Arabidopsis thaliana: one gene and its partner. The protein of the gene in region 1 interacts with the protein of each later gene in a biochemical or structural test. Each region holds a gene or a part of one and is shown on either strand. Other genes may lie near its edges.

Region 1 (10,598 bases):
AGCTTCTGGCAACACATCCTGGATTAGAATTTTTGAGGACGATAAGCGAGTTTCAAGAAAGATATGGTAGGAACCATTGATTTGTGACTTACTGATTGTCATGGTGTTAAAAATGATGAAACCTACTCAATAAGACGTTCTTTCTGTGCATACATCTTTATATCTCTACTAGATATGTACTTATGTTAGATTCATACTTGTACTAATTTTAATCCTTTGTTGATTACCCAGCTGAAACGGTCATCTACAGAATATTTTACTACATTAACAGATCCGGAACTGGCTGCCTTACTCTTAGAGAGCTGAGACGTGGAAATTTAATTGCTGCTATGCAACAACTTGATGAAGAGGACGACATTAATAAAATTATTAGGTGAGTTTATTTTTTCTTTTCATAATTTCCTAACAATAAGTATTTGAAATTCAAACATATTCTGTTGTTATATAAGGAGTAAACAAGCTTACGAAAATATATTAAAGTTCGAGGGTTTATCACATATGTAACATTAAACAGTTCAAAATGGAAGAGCTATATGAGTATTGGCTTATACCTTCATATTGCTTCTGTAACAGAACTTATGCCTGATTTTACCATTTGCAATCATGTCGTTTCTTTTAATTTTCAGGTACTTCTCCTATGAGCACTTCTACGTGATATACTGCAAATTTTGGGAACTTGATGGTGACCATGATTGTTTTATTGATAAGGACAATCTCATCAAATATGGTAATAATGCCCTTACCTACAGGATTGTTGATAGAATATTTTCACAGGTTGGTTCCCAAAATTGTTCCTGCCTAGACCTTCTTAAAAGCTAAGTTATATAGTATGATGTGATCCTTTTTATTTGATCTCCATGCGTCTTGTGGCTATGTTTCTCTTTTAGATTCCAAGGAAGTTTACGAGTAAAGTTGAAGGGAAGATGAGTTATGAAGATTTTGTGTACTTCATTCTCGCTGAGGAAGACAAGTCTTCCGAGCCTAGTCTTGAGTATTGGTACACATCTCCCCCTCCGTGTTGATATTGGTTTTCCTTAATGAATGTTGCCCCTTGGTTTAGATCACAAGATCTTGATATATATACTACAACGGAGTCAAAACCAGTGACTTGAGGACTTGTTACTTGTAACAAGTCCTCTTCCTCAGATATATTTAGTAATCATTGTATGGTACCATTTTTTCATGAACATAGGATCCTTGTTTATACTCGGGCACTAACAATCTAACAATCTGATACTAGTTTATAGCCTAGTATGCTCATCTATCTATTATGGATGTCAAAACTCAATATTTTTGCAAGTCCGTGTATTTTACTTGACACTGATTGAAATTTTCCGTGCAGGTTCAAATGCGTAGACTTGGATGGAAATGGGGTAATCACTTCAAACGAAATGCAGTTTTTCTTCGAAGAGCAGCTGCATCGCATGGAATGCATAACCCAGGAAGCTGTTCTTTTCAGTGATATCCTATGTCAAATAATTGACATGATTGGACCCGAGGTTAGTTACTTTACAAACCAGAACATGGTTGTTTGATTTTTCCGAGCTTTTTTGTTATTTATCATTTATTTGACTGGAATCATCTATATGGTGGATGTCCTTGCAGAAGGAGAACTGTATCACCCTCCAGGATCTGAAAGGATCGAAACTTTCAGCAAACGTTTTCAATATACTCTTCAACCTTAATAAGTTCATGGCATTTGAAACACGTGACCCATTTCTCATTCGCCAGGTAAGTTTGGCTTACCAGTGGAGTTTTTATAGCACTCAAGAGGGAAAAAAATAACAAAGAATATGACTTCTTTTAACTGCTAAAGGCAGTTTGTAGTAGTTCGGATTGAGGCAATTAGAACAAGTATAATTCTCTTTCATTGCTGTAGGAACGGGAAGATCCAAATTTGACAGAGTGGGATCGATTTGCTCAGAGAGAGTATGCGAGATTGTCAATGGAGGAAGATGTAGATGAAGTCTCAAATGGGAGTGCAGATGTCTGGGATGAACCACTCGAACCTCCATTTTAGTCCATAGTGGTAAGTTCACACTGCTTGTGTATAGGAAATGCAAATGCTTATAAAATTCTGTGATTTATTGAGTCGAAAGCCGATCTTGACTACAGAAACCAACCAAATAAGGAGACTTATGATTTGAGGTTTTCCCTGGAGAGAGATCCATGATCAGAGATTGGAGGTCACTGTTGGTTGTTACCAGACGCTTTCATCATCATTTCCAAAAGAGTCTCAGCCAAATTCATGAAATTTTTGCAATTTTGTTTTGGTTTCATTATAAAGATTATATCAAGTTGGGCCCTCTCTCCCTCTACATCATCTAGTGTCCATATAACCAGTTGGATTGTCCAACTCAGAATGTACTCATAAATCTGAATTGTTAAACTCTTTTAGTCTTTACTGTCACACGAATATATTTTCAGAAAGAAATCTGAATTGTAAATCTCTTTAGTTGCACTGATATCTTTTTCATAAAAAAAAAAAGAGAAAGAAATCTGAATAGTAAATCTTTTTTCTTAATTAAAAAGAAAAGAAAAAACATCTCCTTATAGTATAGTTGATAGAAGGTGCAAGTCACGCGTTTAATGTGCGCGTGATTAGTTAATTAAACTTGTATATAGAGAGTAAGCGCGTGGTTACATTGCAAAACACTAGAGATAACCCTAGAAAGATCTCTCTCGATCTCTGGTTCGAAGAAAATCCACCATTTCCGATTGTTCTTTCTCTTTGACAAAACCCAGATAGATAAAAATTCGTTCCAATTCCAGTGAGCTCCGGAAATGGCGTCCTTCAAGTTGATGTCTTCTTCCAATTCCGACTTGTCTCGCCGTAATTCTTCTTCTGCTTCATCTTCCCCTTCTATAAGATCATCGCACCATCTCCGACCAAATCCTCACGCCGATCACTCCAGAATCAGTTTCGCTTACGGCGGAGGAGTCAACGATTACACTTTCGCGTCTGATTCAAAGCCCTTCGAGATGGCGATTGATGTTGATCGGAGTATCGGAGATCGGAACAGCGTTAACAACGGAAAGAGTGTTGACGATGTTTGGAAAGAGATTGTATCTGGAGAGCAAAAGACGATCATGATGAAGGAAGAAGAACCAGAAGATATAATGACACTTGAGGATTTCTTAGCGAAAGCAGAAATGGACGAGGGAGCTTCAGATGAAATCGATGTGAAGATTCCAACGGAGAGACTCAACAACGACGGTAGCTATACATTTGATTTTCCGATGCAGCGACACAGTTCGTTCCAGATGGTTGAAGGATCAATGGGTGGAGGAGTAACGAGAGGAAAGAGAGGGAGAGTGATGATGGAGGCAATGGATAAAGCTGCAGCTCAGAGACAGAAGAGGATGATCAAGAACCGTGAATCCGCTGCTAGGTCTCGAGAGAGGAAACAGGCTTATCAGGTTGAGTTAGAGACTTTGGCTGCCAAGTTAGAGGAGGAGAATGAGCAGCTTTTGAAGGAGATTGAAGAGAGCACTAAAGAGAGATACAAGAAGCTCATGGAGGTTCTGATTCCGGTCGATGAGAAACCAAGGCCACCGTCGAGGCCCTTAAGCAGGAGCCATTCCTTGGAATGGTGAAGTGTGGTAAAAAAAACTTTTGTATGTAAAAAAAATAAAAACATATGGGCTTGATTACTATATTATAATCTATATAGTAAAGTGATGGTGATATGGTTAGTACTTAGTTACCTGTAATGTATCTAAGGGATGTAATGGATAATACATAGCTTTTTGCTGATTTATAAGATATCTATGGACCAGACTAGATGGGATAAATTCTTTTTCTCCCTAACAATTTTGTTGGTCGATTCAAATTAGAAAGTGGTTGGTTGTGTTTGATTAGGCAGGAGCAGAGAGTTCTTCGTCTTCTTTATTCTCCTGGCATCGTTTTAGCATCTCAAGTTGGCGTCGTAGATGCAAAACCTGTAACCCACCAAAGGAAAACGATTTAACTTAGCTGACTTTACTACATATTTCTCATCTAATGGATTCTGGAGTTCAGCCTTAAAAAAGAGTCAGCTTCAGAAGGTAATCCTCAGACTATATAACTGAGTTTCATTTCTGTTTCTTATCCTAAGAATTAGAAGATATATAACTCAGACTCCAAGTGAAGAGTTGGCTTAGTTATGTACCTCTTGTTGAAGCAAAGTCGGGTGGCTAACCATGGAAATGAGCTGTTTCATTTCTTGCAAAAGTGACTGGTCTTTGATACCTGACCACGTCTGTGGAGGTAAAGCCAACAGAAGAGCAGTGAACACATCGTTCCCGGATGGGTAAGCTACCACTGTCACTTTCTCCTCACCAAGACCTTGATGTAAAACAAGAAATTCAAAGAAAAAAGTGATTTCTTGATTAGAACTTTGCACACTACTAACTTCAAGCCAAGGTTTCTGAAGCGCTTAGAAAGATAACCAGAATGTAAGAACAAACATACCTTTGATACATTTGACACAAGTTTCCTTACAACAGGATTCATCTGATTCATATCCCGATAAGATTTCATCTCCGTCACAATAAACCTTAGCAGCAACATATGGCAGATTGTCTTCGTACACAGAGGAGAGAAACTTATCCACATGCTTGAACAGTTTAGTTTCTTGCACTTGTTTCAGTAACTCTTGCTACAGCAAAACGAACCATAGAACAGTGATGAATAAACTGATGGAATATAAACATGGAAAACTAAAGTTCAGAAGCAAATGGACAAGATAATACCTTTAATTTGAGCCTTGATTTCTCTTCTGAGCTAAGATTTTGATTTACATCCTCTGTTCTTCGAATCTCAGCCATCCATTTGATAAATTGGTTGAAATTTGCTGGAAGTGACTTGAATACAACATATAAGATTCTTTCAATAGTATCAACATGTTGTGAGCTTACAAGACGAGGAACATCTTCCTTCAAATACTTTGCAATGCTGATCCAGCTCTCATCCTTACAACTCTGAAATCGATAATCAAGATATCATTACTCAGTCCTATTCGAAAGAAATGTTATTGTAATAGCAGCAACTACTAATAGAACCATGACTTTGGACTTACTAATGTATAGAGCAATCCTGGTTCTCTGTGGGGTCTTGATATAAGCATGAACCTGGAAGTAAAGCAGAATAGCAAAAAGAAACGGATTACATTCTTTAATCATACAAGTGAAGCCTAAGAAAAAGAATAGAGATCCATGTACCCTCTACGTCTCCCTGTTGACTGATCAATACTATCCATGGCATCCCAAAGAAGTTTAAGAGGAACCCAGTGAGGAGGATACTTGAAACGAGCGACATCAAGAATCAAAGCCATATCTCTTTCAGCATTATAACCACCAATAGGTGAAAAGTGGCCAGTTCCAGTCTGCAATCATAGACATTAGAATCCGATCAGCATGGGACTTCATAGCAAGACATGAAAGAGTTTCACCATTATCAAACTTTGTAATAACATTAAGTCTAATGAATTTCACTTAATTGCCATATAACTGTTAATATACACAGAGTTTAGGCCAAAAAAATGATACCTGCTTGAGTACTTGCCTATGATATGTTGAGATCATATGACAATTATCAGAAGTTGAACATTTGACCACATATTTGCGGAAATCATCAATGGTGCTCTGATTTGTGCGGAAAGCTTCGACTTTTGCTCCTGAAGAATGAGCTAAACAGACCACTTTTCCAAATGAAATGCCTTTATCCTTCACTATTTCAAGCGGCTCGCAACATTCCAGCATTGATTCATCAAACCACCTCCAAGGCCCTGAGAGAAACCAAAAAAATTCAAAAACCCACCAACAAATGTACTCTCCAGTAGAGGTATGTATACCTTTCCACTTTCTTCCCGGGTCAATAGAAAGAGAATTCAAAACCATCGAAAGACTAGCTAAGCCACAAAAAGCTGGCTCAGACTGTGTCTGAAAATAAGAAATCAGCCCGAAAAATCCTTCCATAGTGCCTTTCTGAAGCGCTTCATTGAAGATTTGCTGCAAAGACAATGACAACATTTAAATTCTCAGGGCAAAAGAACTTGTCCCATTCTACTAAATTGGCTATCAATAATTCGTGAACCATTTATCATGAAGCATGCTCAGATCTCTCACCAACAACTAAACTTGTAAAAACAGCAAGGGGTTTAGGGTTTTACGAGTTTTACACAGTTCCCAAGAAAATCCAATTTCTAGACTCTATACAGATAGAGAAGTAACCAAATCAATCAACATACAAAAACCAAATCAGTGATCATCTCTAACCAGAAGCACAAGGATACTTAAAAAGTTAAAACCCAGAACCCTGAATTTTCAATTGAATCCATGGATCGAACACTTGAGAAATAACGCACCTTTCCTTCAAAAGAAGCGAAATCTATCGCCGGAGGGGAAAGAGACCGCCGATACAAACTCGCCATAGACATTGTCAGAGTTTGACTATGGAGCAAACTTGCGCCGAAAGAATCAGGGACGGGTTCGAAAACAATGTAAAAGAAGAGCTCTCTCTCTCTCTCTCTCTCTCTCTCTCTCTATGAACTACCTAAAAAATGGAGCAATGCTTCACATATGAAGAAGAGTAACGTTCGCAGAGAAGTCTTTCATTTACTTCAAAATGCGGATTCAATAAAACGTCGAAGAGGGACTGAGTTGTGTGAGAGAGACAGAAGAGAAGATTGGTAAAGTCAAATCTTAAACCGCGGAGACTGATGGTTATTTAGCCGGTTTGGATCGGTTTGGAAAATAATTATTGATTTGAAAACTAATTGACCTTGACTAAGACTCACCTACTGTTTTTTCTTTATTGCAACTGGGGAAATTGTTTATTTTATTTTATTCTGAAGCCATGAAGGCACGTTGGTTTTAAACTAATCAAATAAAATAGGTAACAAATCCTCACAAGAACCAGCACTGTAGCTAGCTTAATTGAATTTCCCTAGTAACCTATGTTATTTATTTTGATGCAAATTTTTATCGTCTTAAGTTAGATATCCTGCATCAGACGTTGATGAAGAATCACTTATAGATTCTACTTGAGATCCACGTACTCGTCGTGACGATCTTCTAGATCCACCATCTACACAGTCCTTTGATTTTTTTCTACGAGATTTCTTATTAAAACCACCATCTTGAGGAATAGCAGAAGATTCTTTTGATGATCTCCGTGAAACTTTAGGGTTTCCATTATATTGTGAAGATCCACGTCGTCGTGATCGTTCTTTTGTTGGTGAACCACCTAAAGTGCTCGAACGCTCTCTCGACGATTTTGGAAGTCTCGGTATATCACGTGACCGAGTCGAATCTGCATGTGCATTTTTTATTTATAATTATTTCTTCTTTTACAAAAAAAAATATCTATAGTACTATTCCATATTAGATAGCTCACCTTCAAAAATGCATGAAGCATCCTCCTTGATATTTCCGATAAGCGCCGGTGAATATCCACCCAATACTTTGAAATCTTTCATCTACATTGAATTTCATTATTTTGACTTTATGATAATGATTTATTAGTTAATGTTATACTATAGACCAAAAAATTATTGAAAATTAAATTAAATACCCAGCTGGGTGGATTATGATTGACAGAGCCTCCATCCCAACCAATGTGAGCAACATGTTTTACATCTGTTGGAGTTCCAATTTGCATCTCTGCCTCTTTCTCGTTTTCTGCGTTATGCAAATTGATCATAAAATGTAATATTAAAACGAGAAATTTACAAAATTATTAGGCTACATTCAGAGAAGATAGTATATAGTATATATATATAAAACTCACCAAATATTTGAGAAAAATACCTAAGACCCTTCACGAGGCTCTTCATTTTGTAGGTTGACATAATGAAATAGCCAAACAAATCAATATAGTTTCTAAGAGAAAAAAAAATAATCTATTCTGTGTTTACTAATTTTGTTTTTCTCCTGGAAGCTATAAGAATGAAATGAATTCAGAACTGAAAAGAAATCACGTAAGTTTCATTTCGGCTCGATCGATTAAGAGCCATTGTCAGTGATTTCTTTGAAAGCATTTTGATTTAACATTCTACGACCTAAAATTTTCTTTCTCCAGGAAAAAGAAAAAAGGTTGAATCAAAATACTCAGTTATGAACAAAAAGAAATAGGAAAAGGAGATTGTGCATGGAGAGCTAATATATCAAGTTTTCTGTTTCCAGTTCCAGATATGGAACTAATTAACAATGTGATGGAGGGAAAACAAAAAACTAATTAAGTGAACGACAATTAGTTTAAAGTAGATTTTTTTAAAAAAATCGATGAGGCTAATTTTATTGTTTGTTCTCTATTGCAATCTTAATGTGGTAAAACTGTAAAGAAAATCAGCAGTTGTTAGTAAAAACAAATCAATTATTGGCCACTAATTTTTTTGTCAAAGGGTTTTCATGTTTATTGACTTTTTAGGAGGATAAGATGGAAACAACATATTGGGCCAGACCCATACAGAATGATAAGATAAAACAAAACAAAGAAGGCCAAAACCCATAAAGGGGAAACATGCCCAAACAGAGGGAGAAGCCCAAGATTCGCCAGCAAGAGAGCCCAAGAGGCCCAAGAACCATGAACCGTAGGCAATAACCATTAGAGCATCTCCATCGGGAGATAGATACTCTTGCTGGCATCTCAAAAAAAAAAAAAACCTGTGACGCTAGTAAAACTGTGTTACACACATAAGTAGTATATTCACAAACGTACTATAACTATTAATAAAATTTTGAGGATGATGTATATAGCTGGAAAAAACGATTGAAATATGTAATTGAAGACTATGTATATTATCTGATTTCACAGAAATGTTGTTATTTCTACATGGCTGCTACACATACCAGAAAAAAAACAATTATTGACACCTGAAAAAGAAAAGGCTGTCATAATTATATTATATACAGCTAAAAACAAATGATTTATATATATAGAGAGAGAGACTTTATATGTTGGTGGTGGAATATCTGAGAGCTTTATTTTATCGGTGATGTCGAAAATATACACATGTAACATATTGTAATACAACAGTACGATGCTGCGTTTGTCACGTGTACTCCTGATGTATCCCACACCTGACTCAAGACACATATACGTATTCGTATACATCACACGTGATACGTAATCTGTGGTCTCTTTTTCCAGACGCAAACAAACAAACATAATCATCTCAAAACTCAAAAAAGAAACAATCTCTTTCAAGTTTGTTTTAGTCCTTCTTTCTGATTACCCAACACTTAAGGAACCGCCTTACACTTTCCCACAACAAGTTTTGCAGAGAAAATCGAAAAGAAAAATGCTCAAACCCTAGAAGCTCTTCGCATGTCTATATATATGTTTGTGTAAAAAAGAACTAAGCGTAAAGAGGAATTAAGAAAGAGAGAAAGGACCTAAAAGCTGAGAGAGATGGTAGGAGGAAGAAGATTAGGGAAGAGAGGAAGCCCTTTGTTGAGATGGAGTGTGAAACAAGAAAGCTTCAGCCATGGATTCTCAAAATCTGACCTCCAAGCTCTCTCTTCCATTTGCGACGCTATTATGCCTCCTGTTCCATTAGAGAGCTTAAATCTTGAGATGAAGTTGAAGGTTTTGCGCAACGATGCACTCTTATCTTTCTTCAAGTCTTCTTCTTCTGAGTCTCATGTTCGACCAGATGAGGTTGTTTATCTCCAACTTTCTCTATCATCTCAGTAAAAGACACTATTATGAATATAATTAATAATAGCATAATCTTTAATGAACCCTAAGGTATATAGAGTGATGAAAATTTAGATTTTACTCTACGTTATCTTCAGTGCACAATTTATTAGTGCTTACGTGCAATTGGAATGATAATAAATTGATTAAAAAATCAGGTGGCAGAGCTACTGGCGACCAAGGCAATACCATTGACAGTTTTAGTGGTGAGAATAGTTTTGAGAATACTCACATTCAGACTGGGGACGTTACTGCTTTGCGGGTTAGTCTGTCTTGACAAGAAGCATTGGCCTTTTCTTCTCAAGTTCTCTGAAATGTCCCTGGAGAAGAGGGAAAAGGTTCTTCAGAGATGGAACACACAGTGGTATAACCCACTAGCGAGAATCGGCTTTATGATGATCAAAGCCATCTTCTTGTTCTACTACTTCACATGGGTAAGTCTTCCATCTTCCTCTGCATAACAGGTCATTCGCTTTCGTTAGAAACTATAAAAAAAAGGTGCAACATGAGACTTTATAAGTTATGCTGGAATTGATTGGCTCAGTAATGATGTGTTCTTCTTCTATTCCCACAAAACGGCTAGGTCACTAGGACTAGTGCGATGTCTTCAACCAGATGGTTGTGTTTCTAATCCCTATCATGGTTCGAACAACTTTTTTCAACCAGCAAGAACTTTTCCATGTTTTATTACCTGTGAATATATGTATAACTAATTCAAATGCATGGACAGACAAATGAAAATTCAGAAAACCCAGTATGGGATGCAATTAATTATAGCGTGGAAATTGGTGAAAATGAGGACATGGAACAAAAGGAAAGACCTCTAGATGAAGGGATCATCGAGACTGCAAAAGAAGATGAGATGACCATCAAGCAACGTATGATCAACAAAGGCCTCAAAGTCACAGAAGACAGA
Region 2 (10,598 bases), on another chromosome or scaffold:
AGTCTCTGTTCTTCAAAACTTGGTTTCGATCTAACTTGTTTTCTTTTTCTCTAGTGCATTTTTTTTTTCAGGTTGTCATGTTTATTTGCAGGTGTTTGTGGTTGATGCTTGCATGGAAGCAATATTAATGTTGTTTATTTACGAGAAGACGTTCGTGTGCCAATTTGAAAATATGATATTAATGGAAATACAGATTAAAACTGACAAATGTATAAATATTTCTTGTTCCTTGTTTTAATTTTAACATTAGTCGTGTGTTTGTCGTAAATACGAAGGGGACATTTCACCTAAAAAAAGAAAAAAATATATTCATCAAAACTGGTCTTGGATACGTTTTTAGTTAAAACAAGAACAATAATAAAGTTAGGTTTAACTTCGATCAGATCGAAACAAGTACACTATAATTGTTTTGGTTTGAGAAAATATACCATCGATGGTTTCAAGAAATAATAGCAGCTGGGTTGCTTGTAGTCGATACGTTAAGTCGTATCATCTCAAATGATCCCTAGTAGTACACAACATAGTCAACTGGTTTGTCATGTGTTGGCCTACGAAGAAATGTATACCGGCCGGATTTCAATTTATAAATTAGTCCTTTTTTTTTTGTCAAGTTATCATTGCATAGCCAAGTTTCACTCGGTCAAAATCTAATTAACAAAGTCTGTAAAACGTTGAAGTAATTGTATTTTATTAAAAGAAAACTCCAAATTAGACTTTGATTCCAACGAATATTTAACGACATAAAAGGCATTGCCGTTTGTTGAACGAGTTGTCTTCTTACCAAATTTGACGCTTTCCAACTAAATACACTCCTAATTTTGCCTATTACCTTTTTCCTCCTCTAATTAAGTAAATGCTAAATTTCCCCCAAATACTAAAAATCGAATCCGATAAGTCAAAATCAAAATCGTACCTACGCGATTTATGCAAAATACCGGAAAAAGAACCAAAGTGCTTATTACAATCAAAAGACCAAACCGGTTAAACAATTAGTTAGGCTGGCATTAACGAACCTCTTTGTCTTTAATTAGCCTTTATCCGTCACCGCCCTGTTACCATAACCGTTCAACGTCGACCCGCTCTTTGTTTCAGAAAAAAAAAACAGAGAAAGACTTTTTTAGTGTTTCTTTGTCATTTTCGTTCCTCAAAAAAACCTTTTCGAATTTGACCCTTATTGTTATCCTGATTCTTCTGCTCGGTTCTCGCCGGAGAGAAGACACGGAGAAGAGGGTTTTCGAAAAGGAGGATGAGAGGTTCCAATAACACCGATCTATTTGACCCTAAGACGGAGATGGATTCCAATTTCTCTCGCCATGGTTCTTCCTCCGAAGGTGATTTTGGTTTCGCTTTCAATGACAGTAACTTCTCCGATCGTTTGCTCCGGATCGAGATCTTGGGTGGGCCTTCGGATTCTAGGTCTGATGCTGAAGGATGTACGAGTATTGCCGATTGGGCTCGTCATCGCAAGAGGAGAAGAGAGGACAACAAGAAGGACAATGGTGGTACGTTTGATTCCCTATCGGTTGGAATCTCAGATTTTGTTGTTGTTTTTATGAATTGTTCTTATGGTTGGTTTAGGGCTTTTGGGTTTAAATGTTTAAGAAACTTATACGTTTTGCATTTCCAGTTGCGATTTCAGACATTGTGGCATGTGCTGAAGAACAGATTTTAACCGATAACAACCAACCTGATATGGATGATGCTCCTGGTGGTGATAATCTTGACGATGAAGGAGAGGCAATGGTTGAAGAGGCTTTATCAGGTACCGTTCTAAATTTCACATTGTCTCTCGAGTGACTGGGTTTGAATTTGTGATACTTAACAATTTTCAGAAGAGCGTTTTTTGTTGAAGTCATTTGTCTGAAACGTGATGGCTTTGTTTATTAATGGTTTTTGTAGGTGATGATGATGCATCTAGTGAGCCAAACTGGGGTATTGATTGTTCTACTGTTGTTAGAGTTAAAGAACTGCATATTAGTTCTCCTATCTTGGCCGCAAAAAGCCCCTTTTTCTACAAGGTATTAACCTTTTTTCTTCTTCTATGTTCTTATTGTTTGCTCTTGTTCATCTCGCATGTAATGCTATCTTTTGCTTCTTGTTTTCCTTACCCTGTTGTAGCTGTTTTCTAATGGAATGAGGGAATCAGAACAAAGACATGTAACCCTTAGAATTAGTGCACAAGGTACGACAATTTAAGTCAAGCTTTTAATTCATTTCTGCTATTCTCCAATCTCTTTATATTGGCTTCAATTCTCTACTAGCTCTCTGTTGGCTTCTTCTTGTTTTGGATTCTTTATGCCTCTTGTATTAACTCAGTTGCTGACTTTGATTTACATATGATATACGATATTAGCTTTAAGGGAGTCCACATTGTTGATTTCTCATGCTCTACTTTTATGTGTATTGTAGAGGAAGGTGCTTTGATGGAGCTTTTAAACTTTATGTATAGCAACTCTCTAAGTGTCACAACAGCACCCGCTTTATTAGATGTTCTTATGGCTGCTGACAAGTTTGAGGTTGCTTCCTGTATGAGGTATTGTAGTAGACTACTGCGAAATATGCCCATGACCCCTGATTCTGCTTTGCTCTATCTTGAGCTGCCCTCTAGTGTTTTAATGGCTGAAGCAGTGCAACCTCTAACCGATGCAGCAAAGCAGTTCCTTGCCTCGCGCTACAAGGATATTACCAAGTAAGACTCTCCAGTGGTTTGAAATGCATTTACTCTAGTGTTGTATAATTCTTGTTCATGTGTTACCATCTTGTACAGGTTTCATGATGAGGTTATGGCCTTACCATTGGCTGGAATAGAGGCGATACTATCGAGCGATGATCTCCAAATTGCTTCTGAGGATGCTGTTTATGATTTTGTCTTGAAATGGGCAAGGGGACAGTATAGTTCATTGGAAGATCGTAGAGAGATTCTGGGTTCACGCCTTGCACTCTACATCCGCTTCCCATACATGACGTGTCGAAAGCTGAAAAAGGTACTAACGTGCAGTGATTTTGAGCATGAAGTAGCATCAAAGCAAGTATTAGAAGCGCTCTTCTTCAAAGCAGAAGCCCCACACAGGCAACGCATCCTCGCAGCTGAAGGATCGGACTCCATGAACCGCCGTTTCATAGAGAGGGCTTACAAATACAGACCCGTAAAAGTGGTGGAGTTTGAGCTTCCTCGCCCGCAATGTGTAGTGTACCTGGACTTGAAGCGAGAGGAATGCGCAGGACTATTCCCTTCAGGAAGAGTCTATTCTCAGGCTTTCCACTTAGGAGGTCAAGGTTTCTTCCTCTCAGCACACTGCAACATGGACCAGCAAAGCTCGTTCCACTGCTTTGGGCTATTCCTCGGAATGCAAGAGAAAGGGGCTGTGAGTTTTGGTGTGGACTACGAATTTGCGGCAAGAGATAAAAGTACAAAGGAAGAATACGTAAGCAAATACAAAGGAAACTACACATTCACAGGGGGGAAAGCGGTTGGTTACAGAAACCTTTTCGGGATTCCATGGACTTCGTTCATAGCCGAGGACAGTCAACATTTCATCAATGGCATTCTCCATCTCAGAGCCGAGCTCACCATTAAACGTTCCTCAGACCTGCACTGACTGTTTTCTTCTCTCTCTCTCTCTATGTCGTCACATTTAAGTTGTATAATCTCGTTATGTAGCAGCTCTAACCACGAGTGTCCTTTGTACAATAATTGCCTAAGGAGCAAAAGTATGGCTTAAAGAGTACCTCATTCTGTAAATTCTTTGATTGGATTTTTTTACTTTTCTATATGGGTCTTTATAAATAGTCCAAGATAGAATTTGGGCCTAGCTTTTGAGGTTAGTCTTAAAATATGGGCTCAAGGCCTACTACGATGCGTAATGATGAAGCTAAATTGCCTATAGTGTGAACATTAGGCTTTTATATTCAAAGTTCAAACAATGCGGCTATAGCAATGGTACATCGAGGAAATAGAATGAAGTGACAAGGATAATTTAGGAAATGAGGATAGAGGAATTGAGTCCTCGTCACATGGGGCCCACATAAATGCGTAAGTAAGACTATCCGCTTACCAGACGGACACGTCATTTTGTCGGGACACGTTTGAGCCGTTGGATGATTAATCTCCTTTTCTGACTTATCGACCCCACTTTTTTTTTCCACTACAAAATATTGATGGCCACGTCAGATGATTCGAAGTTATATAAAACACACGTTTTTATTGCAGCTTAACCGTCGATTTTTTTCTAATCGAGAAACCGAGATCAACGGTCTATATTCAAAGCTGATGTGGTCTGTACCTTTGCTTACGTCACCGAAAACCTAAGTTGAATAATACTAGTACTAGTATTATGCTCTCTGATTTCTTTCTACAGTACACAAAATAAAAATAAACAAAAATAGAGAGCCCAGACAATATTTACTACATCACCCAATGGATAACCGACACGTAGATACATCCATGTGAGTCGCATTTTGTAATGTAGGGACCACTTCGTGGATAGAAGCTCTTTTACGCCAACGCAAAAAAAAAAAGCCTCGTTGGCCCTTTAGCCTCTAAATGCCAATAACTATCTACTGGCGTGGCTTAGTTTATACCGTTGGATCATTTGTTTATCCCAGCCGTTGGATTCGAAGCAGTTGTCGGGCTTGTGGGCCTTTTCTTTATTGTTTTGTTTTCATAATAATGAAAGAAAATAAACTAAAAAAGTATTTTTTATTTTTCCTTTTATGGTGATTCCATGATGGCAAAAACGTGGCCATACACGTGGGTCGTCTCGTGGCACCTTTGGAAGATACGAATCGGTAGTGAATAATGGACGGTTCGGATCTTTAGTTTTGTCGACAGAAGTGCTCTCCGCGTCGGAGATACTACTAGTCAAAGGTCTTTTCTTCCTTCGTATTTTACCATAATGTCCCTTCTTTCTAATCAAATTTTTATCATGTATCCAAATTATTCGAAGCAATATTCTATATAATAAACAAATATGCCCATCGGTAAGTAGCAAAAGTTAAATTGTGTTTATTTTCATGCCATACAAAAATAATGATTCTGAAAATTCGTTGGAAAGATTGTTTAGTTTTCTTATTTTTATGTTGCACATGACTTCACTGACGTGTGAATGTGATGACGGATTTTGAAGAGGATTATACACTATGGTAAATATCGACTATAAAAATAATCTAAACATGAGGGAAGCGTAGAGCGACTAGAAATCGAACACGTGTACGGTAGAGATGACATAAGAAATGGCTGGCACTAAACTCGATGAGCCAACTCATCAAACACCACCGTAGTTTACGCTGTTATATATTCTCATGACACGTGTCTGATGACGTGGTCATCGTCTTGGCGCTCCGTTTTTTTTCTCTCTCTCTCGCGTCTCCCTTCCCTCAAAAAAAAAAACTGAACTCTTTTTCGCTCTGGTTTTTTTAGAGAGAGAGAAAGATGAAAATGCGTTTAATTGCTGTTTAGGTTTCGAATTCGCGATTTAAATTTCTGGGTTTCTCTCTGTTTAAGCTTCTTCTTCTTCATCTTCTGCTTACGTTTCTTCTTCAAGGAGCTTTCGGATTCTTGTAGGTATTGCGTAACTTAAATGGTTCAAATAGAGATTGTTTGGTCGAATAGTTTTGTGATTTGGTTTCTCTATCATTCATTGATCTTCTAAGTTTTGTGAAAATTTTGCCATTTTTGATCGTTTGCTTTTGCATTTACTTGAATTGAATGAAAAATTATAAGTTTTGAATTTGAACAAAAACAGCTAAAGCGTAGAGAAGAACAGAGTTTCTTTTTTTGGGTGCATGTGATTGTTTCAGGGGTAGAATTGTCCAGTAGTGTCTACTTTGTTGATTCCTTTTGTCTTCCTGAAAGTTTTCTGAACATAGGATGTGAGAGAGAAATACTATTTTACCCTTCTCTGTCTCTATATTTCTCACACAACAACACCCATCCCCATGATTTTGCAGAAAGAGTCATTGTTCTCTTGAGTGGGAAACCTTGAAACCATTCCTATGGGAAATAGCAGCGAGGAACCAAAGCCTCCTACCAAATCAGATAAACCATCTTCACCCCCGGTGGTATGTTGAACAGTTTCAAACCATAATTCCAAAGTCAATTTAGTTTTTCTTAAATTCCTTATGCGTTGACTTGACTCTTGTTGATAGGATCAAACAAATGTTCATGTCTACCCTGATTGGGCAGCTATGCAGGTTAGTCTTTTTTTTATTACGCTCCAGTTATGTACTAGTAATACCATGATTAATAATGATTTTCATGATGTGTTGCTGCTAGGCATATTATGGTCCAAGAGTAGCAATGCCTCCTTATTACAATTCAGCTATGGCTGCATCTGGTCATCCTCCTCCTCCTTACATGTGGAATCCTCAGGTACTAAACACAAACACGAATCATCTTGTGCTAATATGGTAAAGATTAGGAAGACGTTTCATTGGTGTTTTGTTGGTCTTAAATCCCTTTCAGCATATGATGTCACCATATGGAGCACCCTATGCTGCTGTTTATCCTCATGGAGGAGGAGTTTACGCTCATCCCGGTATTCCCATGGTATATAGTAATTCTGTTCCTCAAACATCTCGTAGTTGAATCCTCCGTGATCGTTTATCTGACTTGGCTTTGAGTTTCTGTGGACAGGGATCACTGCCTCAAGGTCAAAAGGATCCACCTTTAACAACTGTAAGTTGTATACCTAGTTTGATACATCAAAGATTGAGAAATGGTTTTGTTCGCTGTTTAATGGATAGTTCTTCTTTATCGCAGCCGGGGACGCTTTTGAGCATCGACACTCCTACTAAATCTACAGGGAACACAGACAATGGATTGATGAAGAAGCTGAAAGAGTTTGATGGGCTTGCTATGTCTCTAGGAAATGGGAATCCTGAAAATGGTGCAGATGAACATAAACGATCACGGAACAGCTCAGAAACTGATGGTTCTACTGATGGAAGTGATGGGAATACAACTGGGGTAATGTTTCTCTTCTCTTACTCTCAGCTATCTTTAGTTTTCATATGATTGTCTAAAGTCTAGAACCTCACTTATTGCATGTTTCCAGGCAGATGAACCGAAACTTAAAAGAAGTCGAGAGGGAACTCCAACAAAAGGTATATAGCCTTATTCATGTCCCAAAGAGTTAGAATCAGTGTAAATATTAGATATAATGGGAGTTTTAATTCGGTTTTTTTGGCAGATGGGAAACAATTGGTTCAAGCTAGCTCATTTCATTCTGTTTCTCCGTCAAGTGGTGATACCGGCGTAAAACTCATTCAAGGATCTGGAGCTATACTCTCTCCTGGTGTAAGTGCAAATTCCAACCCCTTCATGTCACAATCTTTAGCCATGGTTCCTCCTGAAACTTGGCTTCAGGTACCCTGTGACTTATTCTCAACTTCCACTTGTTGGATTTTCGAGCTAATCTGATCCGTTTCCCTGACCAAGTATTAAATTTTGTCTTCAGAACGAGAGAGAACTGAAACGGGAGCGAAGGAAACAGTCTAATAGAGAATCTGCTAGAAGGTCAAGATTAAGGAAACAGGTTTGGTTACTGAAAGAATACACTGAAGCTCTTTAGAAATTCTTTCTCTTAGTGTGTAACTCTCACCAAAACATTTAATAAACTAACAAACTGTCTTTCCTTGTTTTGAAGGCCGAGACAGAAGAACTTGCTAGGAAAGTGGAAGCCTTGACAGCCGAAAACATGGCATTAAGATCTGAACTAAACCAACTTAATGAGAAATCTGATAAACTAAGAGGAGCAAATGCAACCTTGTTGGTAAGTAAGCTATCATTAACCAACAAATTATCTTTATGAAGGCGTGTCATTTTCTTGAACATGGCCGGTTCTTTTTGGGTTGCAGGACAAACTGAAATGCTCGGAACCCGAAAAGAGAGTCCCCGCAAATATGTTGTCTAGAGTTAAGAACTCAGGAGCTGGAGATAAGAACAAGAACCAAGGAGACAATGATTCTAACTCTACAAGCAAATTGCATCAACTGCTCGATACGAAGCCTCGAGCTAAAGCAGTAGCTGCAGGCTGATCGATGGTAATTCATGTCGATTTCTACTTAATTTGTCGACATAAACAAAGAAAATAAGTGCTACTAATTTCAGAAAAACTTGATAGATAGTATAGTAGAGAGAGAGAGAGAGAGAGAGGTGTGATGATTATTGATCTATAAATTTTCGGAGAGAGAGAGGGAGAAAGAGAAACTTTTCCTCCAGATGAAAATTTGGTGTTATGGTTTGTTACTGTTAATATAGAGAGGCTTTTCTTTTTTTATAAAATGGCTTCCTTTGTTGCATTTCCTTGTTTTAGACCTGATGTAATTTTATGAAATCGGTGTTATTGCTTTGCGTAAGCTTTTGTTTCTTTTGTCAAGGTTTCATGCATAAAGGATCTTTCTTTTCAGGTTTCATACATCTCTCTCCGAAAATTTATAGATCCAATAATCATCACGAATATCACAAACATTATGAGTCTGTCTTTGGGTGATTTTCTTCGCTACTCTTGAGGACTGTCAATCACACAAGGCATTCTTTTCTACAACCGAGTTTATTTTATAAAAGCTGAATATTAATGCTCGCTCACACATAGAGCAGGTTAATTAACTTGTACTGAGAACTCTGGAAATGAAAACTAAAGATTCTGTCAAAATTCAAAAGCTTTATCATCAAGGTATTTGTATTGGTAGTAAATAAAAACATGAAAATGTTAAAAGAGAGAGAAAACAAAATCCGGAATGGGAGACTTTTTCAAAGATTCTAAAAGGTTGACGTTCAAGTAGTCGGAATCTAAATCTTGATGTTGAAGTAGTCGGAGTCAAAATGATGCAGCCTCACGTAACCGTCTTCACCTCCACTAGAGAAACTGAAATATACATTCCACAAACTCAGTGAGAGAGCCAAAACACACACTCAAAACCTCATCATGTGAGGATTGTGTCAATCAATCAAAATCCAAATGTTGTTAATTTACCTCTTCCCATCAGGATTGAATGCCAAAGCATTTATAGGTCCAAAATGACCTTTCACACCACCAATTTCCTCTTGCAGAATCTATATATTATACCAAACACAATGATACACGGTTATTTAAATATGTGTATTTTCCAGGTTACATGTTTCCAAGTAAAACACTCTTATTATAAACACTAACCTTGTCGTAAAACTTAGCTTCAAACTTTCCAGCACGATGATCAGTGGTAGTCACAGCTGATGCATCTTGACCACCTCCAAGTACAACCTAAAAGAGAGAGCAGAAACATTCACAAAGATAACATCATGCCTTGCTGATTCTGGGATTCGAAATTGAATTTCATGAAGCATTAGTGCATACATGGTTGAGAAGTGGAGACAGGGAGACAGCATTTACGGGCACCACAGTGGTGTAAGTCTTAAGAAGAGTCAGCGTTCTCATGTCCCAAAGCTGAAACAATCAACAAAAGAGAACACTCTATTAGATGATTTATATCTATATGTATAGTGCAAAAATTTGAAACAAGATATACTGTACAAGTAAAAGAAAGAAGCACATGCCTTTGCAGTTTTGTCAAGTGAACCTGTAAGGAAGTGAGAGTCATCAGCTGCTTTGCAGAGCGATGTAATGTCCTTCTTGTGACCCACTTCCTCATCTGATTGCTTGAGCAATTTTCCCGTCTAGTAACAATGGCAGTAGCACCACATAAGGTTTAGTTCATAACCTTAAAAGAGAGAAATTAATACACAAGTAAGGCCTTAAGAAAAATTGAAATACCTCGGCATCCCAGATTCTGATAACTTTATCTTCACCACCACTAACAATAGTTTGGTTCAGGGGACCCCAAACAGCTCTATTGATCCTCTTCTTTCCATCAGGACAATGAAGGACAAGCACAGACTCAGCATCCTCTACACAATTGCATCAAACAAACAATTTCCTTTTAACACATACAAGAAGTTGGCTAAAACGTAAGTAGTAATTCAGCTAGGAATGTACAACTTACGTTCCTCAGGATCTTCCGCAATACGCTTCACATGAATAGCAGCGGTACGGTCCACGAAGTGATCAGTGGTAATCACTGCAAGACGATCTCCAACAGCGAAATCCACAGACCTCGTAGGGGCATTAAACTTGAAAGTGAACAATTCTTTTCCAGATTTTACATCCCACAGCTTTGCAGTCTGATCAGCACTACCAGTGATCAATCTTGACGAGTCTCCTAAGAAATCACTAAACATTCAGCTTTGAAAGACTAAGACGACAGAATTCACTCGATACTATAAACCCTAAACAAGCTTGTAGCTAAGGGGAAACAATGAATCTAATCATCGACTCGATACTATTTGAAGAGAAATTGAGAAACTTACGGGAGACATCACAGCACCAAACAGCACCGTTGTGACCACGGTAAGTTCCAAGGCGCTCGCCGTTATCGGCAAACCAGAGGGTGGGTGTGTGGTCCTTGGCGCAGGAGAAAAGCAGATCTCCTTCTCTGTTGTACCTCAGAAACGTCAATGGACGTTCATGTCCCTTCATCAGGATCGGCCTCATCTTCAGTTTCTTAGGGTTTGATGCGAATCTTTGAAACAGATACGAAATCGAATCAATCAAAAGACAAGA

What was found. The genes of interacting proteins can lie anywhere in the genome.
Region 2: the proteins of GBF4 (region 1) and GBF3 form a complex in vitro, tested with the Arabidopsis thaliana proteins (one study listed by BioGRID).

The regions. Positions count from the first base shown.
Region 1 is NC_003070.9:1,015,453-1,026,050, forward strand, and holds GBF4 (G-box binding factor 4), read left to right. Parts: upstream 1-2,647; 5' UTR 2,648-2,784; coding exon 2,785-3,597; 3' UTR 3,598-3,795; downstream 3,796-10,598. Other genes in the region: AT1G03960 (Calcium-binding EF hand family protein), read left to right, coding at 1-66, 232-373, 627-774, 888-997, 1,343-1,499, 1,606-1,731, 1,880-2,020; PCS2 (phytochelatin synthase 2), read right to left, coding at 3,859-3,942, 4,152-4,327, 4,454-4,640, 4,735-4,962, 5,061-5,112, 5,203-5,366, 5,530-5,991, 6,348-6,419; AT1G03982 (PAK-box/P21-Rho-binding family protein), read right to left, coding at 6,972-7,294, 7,379-7,460, 7,556-7,684; AT1G03990 (Long-chain fatty alcohol dehydrogenase family protein), read left to right, coding at 9,395-9,643, 9,841-10,116, 10,413-10,598. UniProt on the Arabidopsis thaliana protein: Binds to the G-box motif (5'-CCACGTGG-3') of the rbcS-1A gene promoter. G-box and G-box-like motifs are cis-acting elements defined in promoters of certain plant genes which are regulated by such diverse stimuli as light-induction or hormone control.
Region 2 is NC_003071.7:18,994,865-19,005,462, forward strand, and holds GBF3 (G-box binding factor 3), read left to right. Parts: upstream 1-5,315; 5' UTR 5,316-5,563; intron 5,564-5,949; 5' UTR 5,950-5,994; coding exon 5,995-6,060; intron 6,061-6,147; coding exon 6,148-6,192; intron 6,193-6,274; coding exon 6,275-6,370; intron 6,371-6,463; coding exon 6,464-6,547; intron 6,548-6,634; coding exon 6,635-6,676; intron 6,677-6,760; coding exon 6,761-6,967; intron 6,968-7,055; coding exon 7,056-7,104; intron 7,105-7,190; coding exon 7,191-7,366; intron 7,367-7,457; coding exon 7,458-7,535; intron 7,536-7,646; coding exon 7,647-7,772; intron 7,773-7,857; coding exon 7,858-8,037; 3' UTR 8,038-8,539; downstream 8,540-10,598. Other genes in the region: LRB1 (BTB/POZ/Kelch-associated protein), read left to right, coding at 1,247-1,502, 1,628-1,762, 1,900-2,018, 2,119-2,182, 2,410-2,689, 2,768-3,599; TRIP-1 (TGF-beta receptor interacting protein 1), read right to left, coding at 8,792-8,867, 8,976-9,055, 9,156-9,242, 9,336-9,425, 9,536-9,655, 9,753-9,886, 9,982-10,197, 10,346-10,529. UniProt on the Arabidopsis thaliana protein: Binds to the G-box motif (5'-CCACGTGG-3') of the rbcS-1A gene promoter. G-box and G-box-like motifs are cis-acting elements defined in promoters of certain plant genes which are regulated by such diverse stimuli as light-induction or hormone control.